Linked DNA regions of Diceros bicornis minor. The protein of the gene in region 2 purifies or fractionates together with the protein of the main gene of each other region. This does not show direct contact. Links are inferred from orthologs where the notes say so. Each region holds a gene or a part of one and is shown on either strand. Other genes may lie near its edges. The genes, in order: CAPZB and MTPN.

Region 1 (7,777 bases), on a different chromosome or scaffold from region 2:
CAAAGTCCAATGCATCTTAGATTCTCAAATCACTATTTCCCTCCATGGATAACTGAGATCTGTTTTCTCTATCATCACACCTACTGAAAATAAAACCCAGAGTGGTCTTAATTCATTTACTTACGAGGCAACCCCACGCCACCACTTCTGTCCTACCCTAACTATCTACACTGGTTTATAACAGTACTCAAGTATTGGACAAATCTGACAAAAAGCAGTCAGAAATTACTGATAAGCCTAGGGGATACTAAGCACAAGTTACTGAAAGAATAAATATAAAATCCAAGTGGTTAAGTTCATGAACACAGACACGCCTCAAAAGAGAGCACTCCAAGCCATTTCCCCTCAGTGCCAGGTGCTGTTCTAGGCCCCAGGGATCCGGCCATGGAAAACACAAGATGAAAATCCCTGCTCTCCAAAGAGCTCACGTTCTGGCCCATGCTAAATATGCCTGCATCACCGCACTACTATCTCACTATTAAATGAGCCCTCCTTTGCAAAGGACTCAGTATGCAATTGGTAGTCGATAAATGCCGATCCTCCCTTGCATCTCTGAGTACCCCATTACAGTCATGCACCACCTAACAACATCTCAGTCAATGACGGACTGCATAGATGATGGTGGTCCCCTAAGATCAGTACCATATAGCCTAGGTGTGTAGTGGGCTAAACCATCTAGATTTGTGTAAGAACACTCTATGATGTTCACACAATGACCAAATCGCCTGACGACACATTTCTCCGAATGTATCCCCATCCTCAAGCCAAGCGTGACTGTATTGTTTTCTAAAGTGTCCTTTATATCTTCCAACACATAAACAGCCTGACAACAGGAAGGACGAAGTTTAGAGCCTGCTAGATGTGTTTCCACTGACTGAGCAACACCTTACATTACGCCACCCCCAGAGCCTCAGCTTCCTCACCCGTAAAATGGGGACTGCAGCCACCTCAAAGGGGATTAAATGAGCTCATATAGGGGAAGGGCACAGCACAGTGCCTGGCACCCAGTGGCCCCTCAGGAAATGTTAGCCCTTTTCCTCCACCCCTTCCACAGTCCTTTCAGATTATCCAAATAAGACCCAAAAACAGGACTCGTGAGAAGCCTCATGTATCATCGTGCTCCTCCTGGTTCATCACAGGCATTTTCCCATCACAGATGGAGAATCAGGCTCCCAGGGCCAAGGCAAGATGCCCTCTCTGCCAGATATGCTGCCTTGAGCAGCCCCACCCAGCCACCCCCATCATCCTCTGCTTTTGCCCTGAGAATTAATTTATAAAACCTCGCTCCACTTTTAAAGTCCTCACTCAAATCTGTCCTGGAGAAGTCTTTCCCCACCCCGGCCTGTTCCACCCTCCACGCAGCCAGTTCTCAGCCACCACTGTTGAGGAAGTCCTATAGCGTTAAAAATGGCACCGCTGTGTTTTTAATCAAGACACAGGAAGGCATGAAGAAAAAAACTATTAGCCAGTCTGAATTAGTCACCCTAGTTCAGCAGCAACATCCCTTCATTAAACAAGGAACCAAGATCCTCAAAACCCTTTGGGGCTCAAAGTCCACATGCAAACATCTGCCTGCACTGGGCAGAGGAGCAGGTGGAAGGCCTGAGCTGTGTCAGCGCACTCTCCAGAGGTTCCTTGGCCGAGTGAGGGAGAAGTCCTCTGGTCCTTCCAAACTGGGTGCTGGCCTGCCCTGCAGAGAGTTCCAAGGTGGCCAGGAGGGCAGGCTCATGTGTGGGGCCTATGGGAGACCTCAGGCTAGTCAGAGCGCCCAGAGAGCACCTGCCTTCATTACCAAAACAAACACCACGAGTGAAGCCAGCTCTCCCTCGGAGTCGGGCTCACCTGACCCGAGGCACGTCCATAACCGGCAGTTCCAACCTTCACAAGCTGACAGTTCAGGGGGAAAGGGAGGTTGCGCCTGTAGGGTTGCATCGTATCCTGGCCGTATGTTGGCCTCGGGGCCTGCTGGCCCCCCAAGGGCTGCGGCCTCACAAGGGCGATTGTGTGTTCATTCCCGTCCTGTCGGCTCCCCCACCCTCAACCCTCCGCTCCCACTCAGGCCCCAGCGCCAAGGGAACCGGCCGCCCCGCAAGCACCGCACCCGCAGCACGGAGGCGGCGGCCGCGGGAAGGGCCCGCAGAGCGCCGCGCTGCCTTCCGGGCACACAGACGCCCGCCCTTCCCTCGCTCGCTCCGAGGAGGCCTCCCCAGAAGGGGCAACCCTCAAACCTGAGAAGGCACAGCCCCGGCCCAGCCCCACCCGGGCTGGAGAGCGCCCCTCGCTTCCCAGAGGCGGCAGAGAAGGTTCGCCCTAGGTGAGGGGAGGGGACCACCTGGGTCGGGGGCAGGGCAGGGACAGGGCCCAGGAGGGAGGGGAAGCCCAGGACACAGCGGGGCTGACACAGACTACCCTAAGAGTGGTGGGAAGTCCGGGGAAGGGGATCAAGGAGGAGGGGTGACGTCCAGGAGGGGGCCATCGGCGGAGGATGGGGAGGTCCAGACTCCAGCCCACGGAGGGAAGAGAAGATTCAGGCTGAAGCATGGAGGAGAAGGGAAACAAATCTAGGCTGAGGCCACTAGAGGAGGGGTTGACGGGGGTCCAAACTGCGGCCATGGAGAAGGGAGGGGGGACAGAGGCCTAGCCTGGACCAAGAGGAAGAGAGCCTAGCCCGTACCATGGGAGGGAGAAACGACGGCCTAGCCCGCGCTCTAGGGACCAGGGAAGGGGACCTAGCCCGGGCCATGGGGAGAAGGAAGGGGGACCACGCCTGGGCCCCCGGAGGGGGTGCCTGGCCTGGGCCACAGGTCCAGGAGGGTCTAGCCTGGGCTATGAGGGAAACCAGCCTGGACCCAGAAGTGGAGACTGGGACTCCAGCGTGAGCCAAGGGCGGGGGCAGGGACGGGGAGGCAGGGTCGCGCCCGGGCGGCGGCCCCCTCCTGAGCCGGCAGGGATGGTGTCTACCTGCGGTCCGGGACCCCGCCCCTCCCCCACCCGGCGGAACCCACCCTGCCCGGGCCGGGGGTCGGCGGGGCAGGGGGACGCGAGCTCCGACGGGACCCCAGGGCTGGGGGACGGTGATGTCGGGCCTTTACCATGGTGGCGGCGGCGGCGGCGGTCCCGGTCCCGGCGTCTGAGGCTCTCCCCCCCGCAGCAGGGCCCGGCGCTTCCACTTCCCCGGGTGCCCAGGAGTGAACATCCGGGTCAGCGCCCCCCTCCCCCCGCGCCGGGCCGCCGCCACCTTCCTTCCCCGCCCCGGCCAGGCCCGGGCCCGCCCCCCACGCAGCCGGCTCTCGGCCAATGAGCGCGCAGGGCCGCGGCGATCGCCAAGTATGGAGCGCCGCGCGGGGGGAGGAGCGCCGGACGGGGAAGTGGGGGCGAGGCCTGCGCGGCCGGGGCGGGGCGCGGCGGCCGGCGGGGAGGGCTGGCCCGGGCCCGGGCCCGGGTCGGGGGCTGCGGGCTGGGGGTCCAGGTCAGGGCCCGGGGTTGGAGGCGCGGGGCCGGGAGGGCGTTTCCGCCGCACCCACACCCTACCACTCGCTCTGCGGCTGCCGAAGCCGGTGGCGGCAGAGGGACCGTGCCCGCGGGCCTCCCAGGCGGGGATGCGGAAGGCAGTGGGGCGGGGAGGGACTGCCCGCCCCACCCGGTGCACGCGCTCACTCCTGCGGCGGACCCGGAACTGGAGCGGCCCGCGGGCCCGGCCCAGCCCCGAGGAGCGAAGGGAGCGAACCTGAGATGGAGTGGCAGCGCTGTCACTTGCTACGTGTAGGACTTGGAGCTAGTCGCTTCACCTGGGCCCGATCTCTAAAAAAAGAGCCTCGGGCCACAACACTCATTGAGCACCTACTGTATAGCAGGCCTTGTTTGAGGCGCCAAAAGATAACAGAGGTGAACCAGGTATAGTAAGATGCCCTCATAGCTTCATGTTACATGTTAGCTGTGAGGACCACACAGGTAGAGGTTAGAAGACTGGGCTCACTAAATGTTAGGTGTTGTATTTTTATATATGCTACAGAGACCTAGCACATTTACCCAGTGGGGCTGCCTCACTCCACAAAGTGACTCAGAAATCCTTTTTTTCTTCATTCAACAAATATTTGTTGAGCTTGGTCTGGAAGGCAGGAGTCCTGGAATGCTAGTCCTGCTAATAATATCTGCCATCCCTGGCTTGCTCCTCTCTCTTGTGAGAATCAAATCAGGTCACATGTGAGAGGATTGTAAACTGTGAAGTGTTGCACAAATGACAGGAATTATTACCACAAACCAGGCCATGTCCTAGGCCTCTGTGTTCAGGGAGCTCATAGTCAAGTAAAAGCTGCCACCGACATAAAAAGTGGTAGAGCTTAGTCCCACAAGAATGATTCAGACCTGTATTACAGAAATTCAGAGGAGAGTGGCAATTAGGAATTCTTTCACCTGGTAAGTATTTATTGAGCACCTACTGTGTACCAAGCACTGTTCTAGGCTCTAGGGATAAAGCAGTGAACCAGGCAGCCCATGTTGTTGCAGAGCTTGAACATTGGAGGGGAGACAATCAGCTACTAAGTAAATATATATATATTTTATATATATATGTTATATAGCTCCTAAGTAAATATATATATATATTAAATATATAGTGTCAGGTGGTAATTAGAGATGTGGAGGAATAGGCTGGCAGGTTAGCAAAGTGGGGCTGTGTTTTGGAGGGTGGCCAAAGAAGGCCTGACTTAGAAAGTAACATTTGATCACAGAGAGGGAGCAAGCCATGTGGACAGCAGAGGCACAAGGAACAGCATGGGCAGAGACCGGATGGGGACAGTCCTTGGTGTGTTCATGGAACAAGGAGGCTGAGATGGCTGGCCCAGGTTGAACAAGGGGAGAGCAGTGGGAGCTGAGATCCAGGAGGTGCAGAGCCGTGACAGGATCTGGCCTGAGCTTTGAGAGGATCAGGAGGCTGCTGTGTTCTGAATGGACTGTAGGGGGACTAGGGCGGGTAGAAAGCTACTTCTGTATTCAAGGCATTTTTTTCTTTATTTAAAAAGCACGTATAAGGGGCTTCCCATGTGATGGACACTGTTAAGCACTTTGCAAATAATAACTCGTTTAATCCTCATAACAGAGGCCTAAATAGGTAAGCCCAAGGTCACACAGCAGAGAGATGAAGGTGGCTTACATCAGGATAGTAGCATTGGAGATGACAAGAAGAGATCATAGAGCCGGCCCCGTGGCTTAGCGGTTGGGTGCGCGCGCTCTGCTGCTGGCAGCCCGGGTTCGGATCCTGGGCGCGCACCGACGCACCGCTTCTCCGGCCATGCTGAGGCCGCGTCCCACATACAGCAACTAGAAGGATGTGCAACTGTGACATACAACTATCTACTGGGGCTTTGGGGGGAAAATAAATAAATAAATAAAAAAGAAGAGATCATATTCTGGATAGTTGCTGATGGACTGCTGGTGGGCATGAGAAGAAGAAAGGAATCAGGGATGATACTCCGATTTTTAGCTTTCTCAACACTAGAAGGATTTAACCATTTGTTGATCTGTGGAAAAGTGTACAAGGAACAGGGGTGTGTTTGTTGTTTTTGGAGGGGGATAAGAGTCATTTTGGGGCAAGTTATGTTTGAGATGCCTGTTGGAGATTTGAATGGAGATGTCAAATAAGTAATCAGATATGGGAGTCAGGAGTTGGGGAAAGAAGTTGGAGCTGGTGATAAATTTATGAGAACTGTCAGCTAATAAATGATATTTTAAGGTCCTTAAAAGCACAAGACATCTAGGTGAGCTCACGTAGGAGGTGACTGTAGAGAGAAGAGGTCAAGAAGACAAAGAGGAACCAGCAAGGAGACCGAGAAGAAGTGACCTGGGAGGCAGGAAGAGGACCAAGAGAAGGCGGTGTCCCACTGGGAGGCCAAGGGGTAAGGGCATGAGGGAAAGTTTTGTGAAAGAAGTGACACTTGAATCATTTACTTGAAAATAATATTGAAAGAAAGCCTTGTTCAAAATGCATGACATATTTTCTCATTTAATCCTCATTACAACCCTATGAGGATAGTACTATTATTATTCCCATTTTACAATGAGGGAACTGAGGCACAGAGGGGTTAAATAACTTGCCCAAGATCAGATAGCTAATGAGTTCAAAGCCAGGCAGTCTGGGACCAGAGCCCACACTCGTAACCTCAGATCTGATCACGTTGCTTCCCTGCTCAAAAGCTTGTGAAAGTTAAGTTATCTTGTAATAAGAGGGCTCAGGAACCAACCCAGAACTCAGTGACAGGCTAGTCCGTCTCGCTCATGCAGCCCCATTTCTGCTTCTTTTGGTGCATCTGCTACATTCTTCCTTTCCTATCTGGCATCCTCAGCCTGCGTGTAACACTATTGCCTTAACATTGCAGCCTGCATGGGATCCATCCTAGTGGCCTTTGTCCCCTCTTTATTCTCTGCATCAGCTTGCTCTATTAACTGGAAAATTTTTTTTGTTTTTCATAGTTCAGGTCCCAAGACAGAATCCAGTTGACCCAACTCTGGGTCATCTTTTTTTTTTTTTTTTTTGTGAGAAAGATCAGCCCTGAGCTAACATCCGTTGCCAATCCTCCTCTTTTTGCTGAGGAAGACTGGCCCTGGGCTGACATCCGTGCCCATCTTCCTCTACTTTACATGGGATGCCGCCACAGCATGGCTTGACAAGCGGTGCATCAGTGTTTGCCCTGGATCCAAACCTGCGAACCCCGGGCCACCAAAGTGGAGCATGTGAACTTAATTGCTACACCACCGGGCAGGCCCTGGGTCATCTTTTAATGATGACAGCTCATCAGACAGGTCACTGGCAAGTCCACAGATTGACTGCACATAGGTCAGATCTCACCCCTTGACCAGCCAACTATTGCTATGAGCAGGGGGGCATGTGGCATTAAATATGACTGCCTACAAGGGGCTGTGGGTAGGTGGGCAGGCACCATAAATATTTTTAGTACTGTTTCTCCTCTTTCAAAAACTCAACCCCCTTGAAGTTCATACTATCCTATTTTTCCACCCGTCACCCCTCCTTTTTGCTCTCAGGAACTGACTTGCACCTCCCCTCCTGCACCTTTATAACTTTAGCATCCATAAGCATAATCCATCAAAAATCTTATTGACCCCTCGTTTACTGATTTCTTTCCTGCCAATGAGTTTTTTCTTCCCCTGTCCCCAGGTACCCACTCCCATGGTCTTACCTTGGACTTGCTCTCACCAGTAATTGCACTATCTCAGAAGATACAATCGCGAAGATCTCAAATCTGACTTTAAGCTCCTTGCTACAGTATCACACACAAGCATTTCTTCAACCTCATCAAGACCTGCAGACCTTGGACCTGCCAGATTTCCACATTTATCTTCCTTCTTGCGCTCACTTCCCTCCTTACCAGCTTAGTAATGAGCATTATACTCTCTTCCTGGCAAAAACCTGTAACCCCTCTGCCCCCCTCTTTTCTGCTAACTTGCCCAACCCCAGTTAAGCGAGCTGTTCCCCTACTCTCTGCCTATATTGCTGGGAAATTTAAAGTGAATGGTGTCACTTTATGTTGATGTCCACAAATTTTAAACGAGCCCTCAATCCTGCCTATCCACCCTACCATATTTCCCTGCTATTTTCAATTCCCCACACTCTACGATGATGATTTTTCAATCTTCTTCCTCCTTTATCCCCTTCTCATCCTTCACTCTAAACAGATGAGCTTGCCTTGTACTTCACAGAGATAATAGAATCCATCAGACAGGAACCCTCTTGTCCATCTACCAACAACTCTGCACCTTGCCC
Region 2 (7,714 bases):
AAAAAAAAAAACAAAAACCAATAATCAAATTAAAAAATAGGCACAGGATCTGAACAGACTTTTTTCCAAAGAAGACATACAAATGTCCAACAGATATATGAAAAGATGCTCAACATCACTAATCATCAGAGAAACACAAATCAAAACCACAATGAGATAAGACATCATACTTGTTAGAGTGGCTATCATCAAAAAGACAAGAGATAACACATTTGTGAGGATGTGGAGAAAATGGAACCCTTGTGCACTGTTGGTAGGAATGTAAATTGGTGCAGCTGCTATGGAAAACAGTATGGAGGTTCCTCAAAAATTAAAAATAGAACTACCATATGACCCAGCAATTCCACTTCTGCGTATATATTCAAAGAAAATGAAACCAGGATATCAAAGAGATATCTTTACTACCATGTTCACTGCAGCATTAATTACAATAGCCAAGACATGGAAACAATCTGAGTGTCCATTGACAGAATAATGGATAAAGAAAATGTGTGTGTGTGTGTGTGTGTATATATATATATATATACACACATATACATATATACATACACAATGGAATATTATTCAGCCCTAAAAAAGAAGGAATTCCTGTCATCTGTGCCAACATGGATGAACCTTGAGGATATTATGCTAAGTGAAATAAGTCAGACAGAGAAAGACAAATACTATGTGATCTCACTTATATGAGGAATCTAAAAAAACTGAATAGAAACAGAGAGTAGATTTGTGGTTGTTAGTAGGAAGGTGGGGGTGAAAGCAGTCAGAAGGTACAAAATTCCAGTTATAAGATGAATAAATTCTGGGGATCTAATGTACAGCATGGTGACTATATTTAACAATACTGTATTATATACTTGAAAGTTGCTAAGAGAAAAAATCTTAAAAGTTCTCACCACAAAAAAAAAGGTAACTATGTGAGGTGATGGATGTGTTAACTAACCTTACTGAGGCAATCATTTCAATATATGCATATATGAAGTCAACACACTGTATACCTTGAACTTACACAATGTTATATGTCAATTATATAAAGCTGGAAAAAATAAATAAAAACCCCACACACAAATAATGCCCCCACACACAAAAAATAGTTACCAACACAAGCCACCAGCTTTCCATTTTCCAGCCTATTCTACTAAAGCTACAAGTTTATAGGGTACATTATCTGCCCTCCATGCGTCACCATGCTATTACAAGAGATTGCTTTGCCAAATATTTCACTCCTGTGAATATGAATCACTATCCTTATAGCTTCTAATATCACTTCCTTTGTTATGTACTACCTAGTCCCCAAGCCAATGCCATCTATATAAGGTTTTTGTTCTAGTAACATCTCCCTTCTGACAACAATTTCTCTACTAGTCAAGATTGGCTCAGTGTTGCTGCAGTAATAAACACCAAAATCTCAGTAGCTTGAAACAACAAAAGTTTAATTTTTATTCATACTACATATCCCTTACAGGATGGCAGAGGAGCTCTGCTCATTGTGGCCACTCAGGAACCCAGGCAGACTGTGTAGTCACTGTCTTGAATGTTGCTGGTTGCTGTCCCAGAGGGAAAAAAGAGCTCTGAAGGGTATTGCATTGGCAAGCCTAGAAGTGACTCATATTACTTCTGCTCATAACTAATAGGCCAAAATTAGTTACATGACATTACTCAACCACAAGGAAGCCAGGAAGAGTAATTCTCTCTTGTGCCCAGGGTGGCAGACAAAAGGAAATATTTTCTGAACACCATAAATACCTACCAAAATAGATCAACAAAAAAATAATGAAAATATTTGTGATAAGTGAGGTGAAGGGGGGAAAAAAAGCTGGGTTACATGGTAGAAGTAATTGACGGACCTATTTAAAGTAAGTGGTCTGGAGGCCTGAAGAGGTAACATTTGCATTGAGACCTCAAAGTTCAGAAGAAGTGAGCAAGAATTAGAAGAACATTCCAGACAGGAAACAACAAGCATAACTGCCCGAGGCTGGAATGACCTTGGTTTTTCCTGAAACTGACAGAAGACGAGATCTCTGGGAACCAAGGAAGCAATGAGACAGGAGAGACTCTCAGGGTCAGATCACAGAAAGCCCTGAAGGCCATCGCAAATAATTAGGATGTTATCCTAAATGCAATAGGAAGCCATTGAACGGTCTTAGGACAAGAAGTGCATATTTGATTTATGTTTCAAAAAGGTAACTCTGGTTATGTGGTGAATTACTTGGAAAAGGGTAAAAGTGAAAATGGGTAGACCAGCCGGGAGGATATTATGGAGGCACCATCTCAGTGCAGACAGAGATGACAGTGGTGGAGAAGGGGTGTGTGGCGGGAATAGTCAGTAGTGAAGATGGCAAGAAGTGAAGAATTTAAGATATATTTTGAAGGATTTACTGACGGATTGAATAAGAGAGAAAGACTGGGAAAGGGAGGAGTTGTTGATGACTCCCATTTTCAAAGATAAACAAAGCCAGACACTAGTGAAAGTGGTCAAGACAGATTTTTTTCAGTAGTAACTCTTGCAATAGGGAAAAGAGCCTAGCATGAACTGAACTCAGCTTGGATTTGTACAGAGGTAAATGAGTGTTCTAAAGGGAGAATGAGGGAGTGGGAAGAGGGAGAAGTGCAGGCTCAGCAGAGTCAGGGAAGTGACAAATTAGAAAAAGTTAGTCAGTGTGAATGCGATTGGGCCAGCTGTGCCTATCGGCTGGCAATCATCGAAGTTAGGATTCTACCCTCCTACAGAGACTGGGAGTCAGAGGCCCTATCCTCAGGTGTTGGGTGGGACAAACACTAAGAAAATTTGGACAGCTTTGAGATTTCTCAAGCAGGCACTTTAAAGGGGACTAGGGTCATCTTAGAGAGGTGGCCTTGAGCTGTTAGGAACTATGTTAGTGTTTGTTCAAGTCTGTACAGACCAAGATTTGAGGCCTACTCGAGAAGAGGGCTCAGAGGAGCCTGGTTCAAGTTTAGTCAAAGAGAGAATCTTTGTCACCATGTTTCTGGTTTTAGTGACGGGATGGTTGCTGATGTCATTTATAGAGATGGAGAAGTCTAGGGAACAACTAGGTTTAGAATCTAGAGGAGACTAGATCCTATTTTGGACACGTTAAGTTTCAGACATTCAAATGGGTAAGAGGTTAAATATAAGAACAGATCACAAAGGAGAAGTCTGGGCTGGAGATCTAAATCAAGAGCTGTCAGCCTTACGTCACTCAAAGATCACACAGGTGAGAGTGTAAGAGAAGAGATGGGGACTCCAGGATTTGCCTAACAAATTCCTCCTGGAGCTTTGTTTCCAGAAATGTATCACCATCAGGTACGTGATTTTGTATTTCTATTTGTCAGAAAGGAAAATCAACAGAATGGCAATCAAGGTAGCTGTTCAATATTCAGAGACTTTTCTTTTGATTTGAAATCTCTATTTGCTATTTCTAAATGATAGCAAAAAAAATTACATTTATTGAACTTTGTTAGCCCCATTTAACACAAGTGGAAAATTAAACAGAGAGGGGTTAAGTAACTTGACAGATGTGACACAAAATTAGTAAGGGTTGGGTCTTGTATTCAAAACTAAGCAATCTGGTTCCAGAGTCTGTGTTCTCCGCCCCCCTACTATACGGCAAGCACAGCAAGTAGACTGGTTTAATTGTTTAGTGGATCATAAATAATAGACTTTATATATATAATACCTCCAATAAGCGTTTTTATGGGATCTCTCTGTTCATGTGTGCATGTCTGAATCATTAGGGATGAGGCACAATTTACCTGGTGGATATGCCCCAAGCTAATACAGCCAAACTCTAGGAAGAGTAGAACTGGCTTCACTAGAACAGTCCTGAAGCTTCAAACCATTAAAAAGAAATGAACACAAAATTTTAAAAACACAAATTGTACCTGACAGTTAGATTTGCTCTGTCCCATGGCATTAAACAGAATTCCTAGTCCTGGACATCATTTGCTGGTCAAGGAGATGAGTAAAGTTTTTTCCCTGCCACACACTAACGTTTTTCTCCCCACAGAACATTATACATAGTATAGACACAGTGAGTTCCCATTATTGTTATAAGTACCAAAGAGCTCCTTGAGGGCAGGAATTGTTTTATTCCATCTTTTTACTATATCCTTGGTGCCCAGCAGAGTCTGGCATGTACTAGGAGACCAAGGGATGCTTGAGAGCGAAGGAAGGAAGGGATGGAGAGAAAGAGGAAGGGAGGAAGGGGAGGAAGGAAGGAGGGAGGGAAGAAGGGAGAAAGGGAGGAAGGGAAGGGAATAGGGAGAAAAGAAAAGAAAGAAGGGAAGGAATTCAAATCAAACACTCCTACTGGATACTTTTAGAAGGTGAGCAAGATGCCCTCCAAGGTTGTGTTTTAAAGAAAAAGTTTTTCCCACTTATGGTGTGCAGAAACGTCCAGACCCCATCTGAAATTCTCTCTCCTCTTGCTCTCAGCCCTTCCTGACCTCCGACCCCCTTCGCTGGCCTCCTAGCCCCGCCCACTTCCCCCCCACCCGTTAGCAAAGCAGTCTAGCCACTGCGCCTGCGCACACGGGCGCTCCCGTCGGGGCGGGGTCCGGCGCAGGGCGTTCCGCCGTGGGGAAGAGGAAGAGGAAGTTGGGGGAGGGTCCTAGCTGGGAGTGAACCGGAAGTGTAAACGCTCCTGCTTCCCCTCGCCCAGGCGGAACCTGCTCTGCTGGGCCTGGTGGCCGCAAAAGAACTTTCTCCCGCCCTAACGGTCGCCGCGGCCAACTGCCTCGCCCTCCTGGCAGCCTACCCCGCCTTCCCTTCTCCTCTCCGGCTCCGCGCGGCCCTGTCTCCCTGTCGCCCGGCGGCGTCCGCTTGCTGCTGCCACCGCCTCCTCGTCTTCTGCCCGGCCAGCCGGCCCGCCCCGCTGCGGTGATGTGCGACAAGGAGTTCATGTGGGCCCTGAAAAACGGAGACTTGGATGAGGTGAAAGACTACGTGGCCAAGGTAAGCGGGATGCGTGGAGTAGGCGAGCGCGGAGGTGGGATGGAGGTGAGGCTGAGGAAGCTGACGGGAGCTCGGCTGGCGGGGCGGGGGCGGGGGGCGGAGAGACATCCTGGATGGAGGTGGCACCAGGAGGCAGGGAGTCAGGGAGCGTCTGAACTGAAAGGAGGGTCCAGGTAGCGAGGTCGCGTCCTGTGCCGGGTAACTGCCGTGGGGAGACAGTCAGGCTCTCTTGCCTTCCCTGACCCCTTGGGGGAGGGGAGGAGCGCTAACCCGCTCTTGCAGCGTCCCTTCTGAGCACGGATCCCTGAGTTTGGCCCTGTTCTTCGGCAGAGTTAGTCACATCTTTCTTTGAATGAGGTGATTTTCCATCTTGGACCTGCCCATTACTGAATGAAGTAACCTGAGTGATTAGAATCAGAGGAACGTTTGTCTTTAACTTGGGGCCTGTTAGGAATTTCAGGTAGTCGTTAACCGTGAAAAAGAGCACCGAAAATAGCAATAGTTAAAATTCTGACACTTGGTATCACTTCGCTGTCATGTCTTAACTTTGGGTGTGGTCCTTTTCCTGTCCCCCACTTCGACAAGTACCTATTTGCTTCAAGTGGTAGGATTGTCAGTTAGCATTTGAGAGTGTTTAAGATATCTGAGTAGTTTTCAGACAAGCATGTTAACTTCAGTTATTCCATCTTTCTCCTTGATTCCATCTGAAATGCTTGCATGTGTAATAAGTAGTAATGCAGTTTAGTCACAGTATATTCGCGGGTAAAATCATGATGAAGAAAGCTAATCTGTAACCTAAACCCAGCATAGAAGCCTGAATCCACATTGTGGTGGACTGGTAAACTTAAAATTAAGCTGGCCTGCCTTTGGACCCTGAAACTGTGCCCTTTGTAATTATGAGAGAACTTAATTATGAGAGAACATCTGATTTTAATATGATGATAATCTAGAAAGAAATCTTCCAAAACAACACTATAACTTTATGACATAACCATGGAGGGCATCTTGCTTCTAAAAAGTGTAACTTTCTGACATAACCATGGAGGGCATCTTGCTCACCTTCTAAAAATGTGAGAACCCAATCTAGATTTGAGTTCTTCAAAGAATATGACCACTGTTATGGTGGTCTGTTTTTGCTTCAGAGATCTGTGTTAGGAAGCAAGTAAGCAGAAGCGGAGTTTCCTAAACTTGCAGGATTGTGCAAGGCAAGCTGTTGATAGGTTTTACTGTTTACGATTTAGACTTTTTTGCGTGCAGGTTATCTGCTAAGTTGTTATTCGCAGTGGATTTTTAGGACGCCATTCACTGCCTTCTCAGCTAGTGGCAATCTGAAACCTGACTTATTGGATGTTTCAGTGTAAGATTAAAGGGAAGAAATTACTTGGAACACTTCAATCCATGGTGCACTTTCCAGTGGTGGGACACTGCAGTACTCTGGAAGTGAGTGGGCTTTTGTTTTTCTGTTATGGGGGAAGCTAGGTTATTTGATGTCTTTGAAATATGAAAAGTTGATAAGTACTAACTGATCTCACAGCCACAAAAATAACACAGTTTATATAGTGTCTTCCTAATACATTATTTTATATCATCCTTGTGAGTCTTGTGAAGTAAATCCTTTTATTACTCCCATTTTACAGATAAGGTTACTGAGATGCAGGGTACTTAAGAAAAAAAATCCAAACGTATAGATAACAAATGACGAAGCCAGAAGTAAACTGCTGACTCCAGACTTACATCTTTAACTACTCCATGCAGTCTCTGACAATCTAAAATGCAGTTGTGAAAGCATATGGTATCAGGATTTTTGGTGGGACGTTCCCAAGGTCCATATTCAGGCAGATAAATTATGCACAAAGAATTCAGAATCACACAAAAACGTTTATGTGAAAATATGTGCCAATAATAATGGATTAATTTATTTTCAGTTAGTTTTTTAAATTAAGTCATTATGTTCAGTTTTATTTTGTATTGCCCTGTTACTACCATGCTGCCTCCTCTCATTAACAAAAAAGATGTGCGTGAGAGGGAAGATAGACATTCAAAGAAAAGTAAAAAGAAGTGCTAAGAACTGGTTTATCCAAAAGGGTTTGACTGTAATGTAATCCTATGAACAGAACATTGAGCTTTTTCCTTTCTTAGTTTTTATTGAGTAACTTGAATCTGTTAAAATATCTTTTGCTTTGTTAATGAAAAATAACAAAAAATATAAGAACCAAAAACCCACAATCCAGTTGTTACTGACTGAGCTCGCTTATTGTGCCTTTTAACACTCTCAAGTCCTTATAACATAATTTCTTCTGCTCAGCAGTCATCTTCCCTGCACATTGACTCACCTTTTTCATCCACCAATTTATGAACACTCGTGATTATTTTCTGAGTTTATGTAATATGTATGTATCTGAGTAAGTGTGTACAAAGAAGGTACATAAAGAAACATTTGGACTTGTCTAGTTTTCCTTCTAAGGGGTGAGAGTCTCTAAAATACTCTCCTCGCTCCTCCTCGGTAGTCCTGTGAAGATCTCTCACATTAACATATAAGAATGGACCTGTAGGGCCAGCCCCGTAAGTGCGTGCGCTCCACTGCTGGCGGCCCGGGTTCGGATCCTGGGTACGCACTGACGCACCGCTTCTCGGGCCATGCTGAGGCCGCGTCCCACATACAGCAACTAGAAGGATGTGCAGCTGTGACATACAACTATCTACTGGGGCTTTGGGGGGTGAATAAATAAATAAATTAATTAAATTAAAAAAAAAAAAGAATGG

Evidence for each region.
Region 1: the proteins of MTPN (region 2) and CAPZB purify together in Homo sapiens (co-immunoprecipitation; 3 studies listed by BioGRID and IntAct, with this or other methods). This does not show direct contact. The link is inferred for Diceros bicornis minor from reciprocal best matches to the Homo sapiens genes MTPN and CAPZB.

What each region holds. Positions count from the first base shown.
Region 1 is NC_080752.1:36,751,773-36,759,549, forward strand, and holds the start of CAPZB (F-actin-capping protein subunit beta), read right to left. Parts: upstream 3,228-7,777; 5' UTR 3,096-3,227; coding exon 3,093-3,095; intron 1-3,092. UniProt on the Homo sapiens protein: F-actin-capping proteins bind in a Ca(2+)-independent manner to the fast growing ends of actin filaments (barbed end) thereby blocking the exchange of subunits at these ends.
Region 2 is NC_080742.1:84,475,030-84,482,743, reverse strand, and holds the start of MTPN (myotrophin), read left to right. Parts: upstream 1-4,639; 5' UTR 4,640-4,879; coding exon 4,880-4,951; intron 4,952-6,334; exon of another isoform or gene 6,335-6,349; coding exon of another isoform or gene 6,350-6,391; intron 6,392-7,714. UniProt on the Homo sapiens protein: Promotes dimerization of NF-kappa-B subunits and regulates NF-kappa-B transcription factor activity. Plays a role in the regulation of the growth of actin filaments.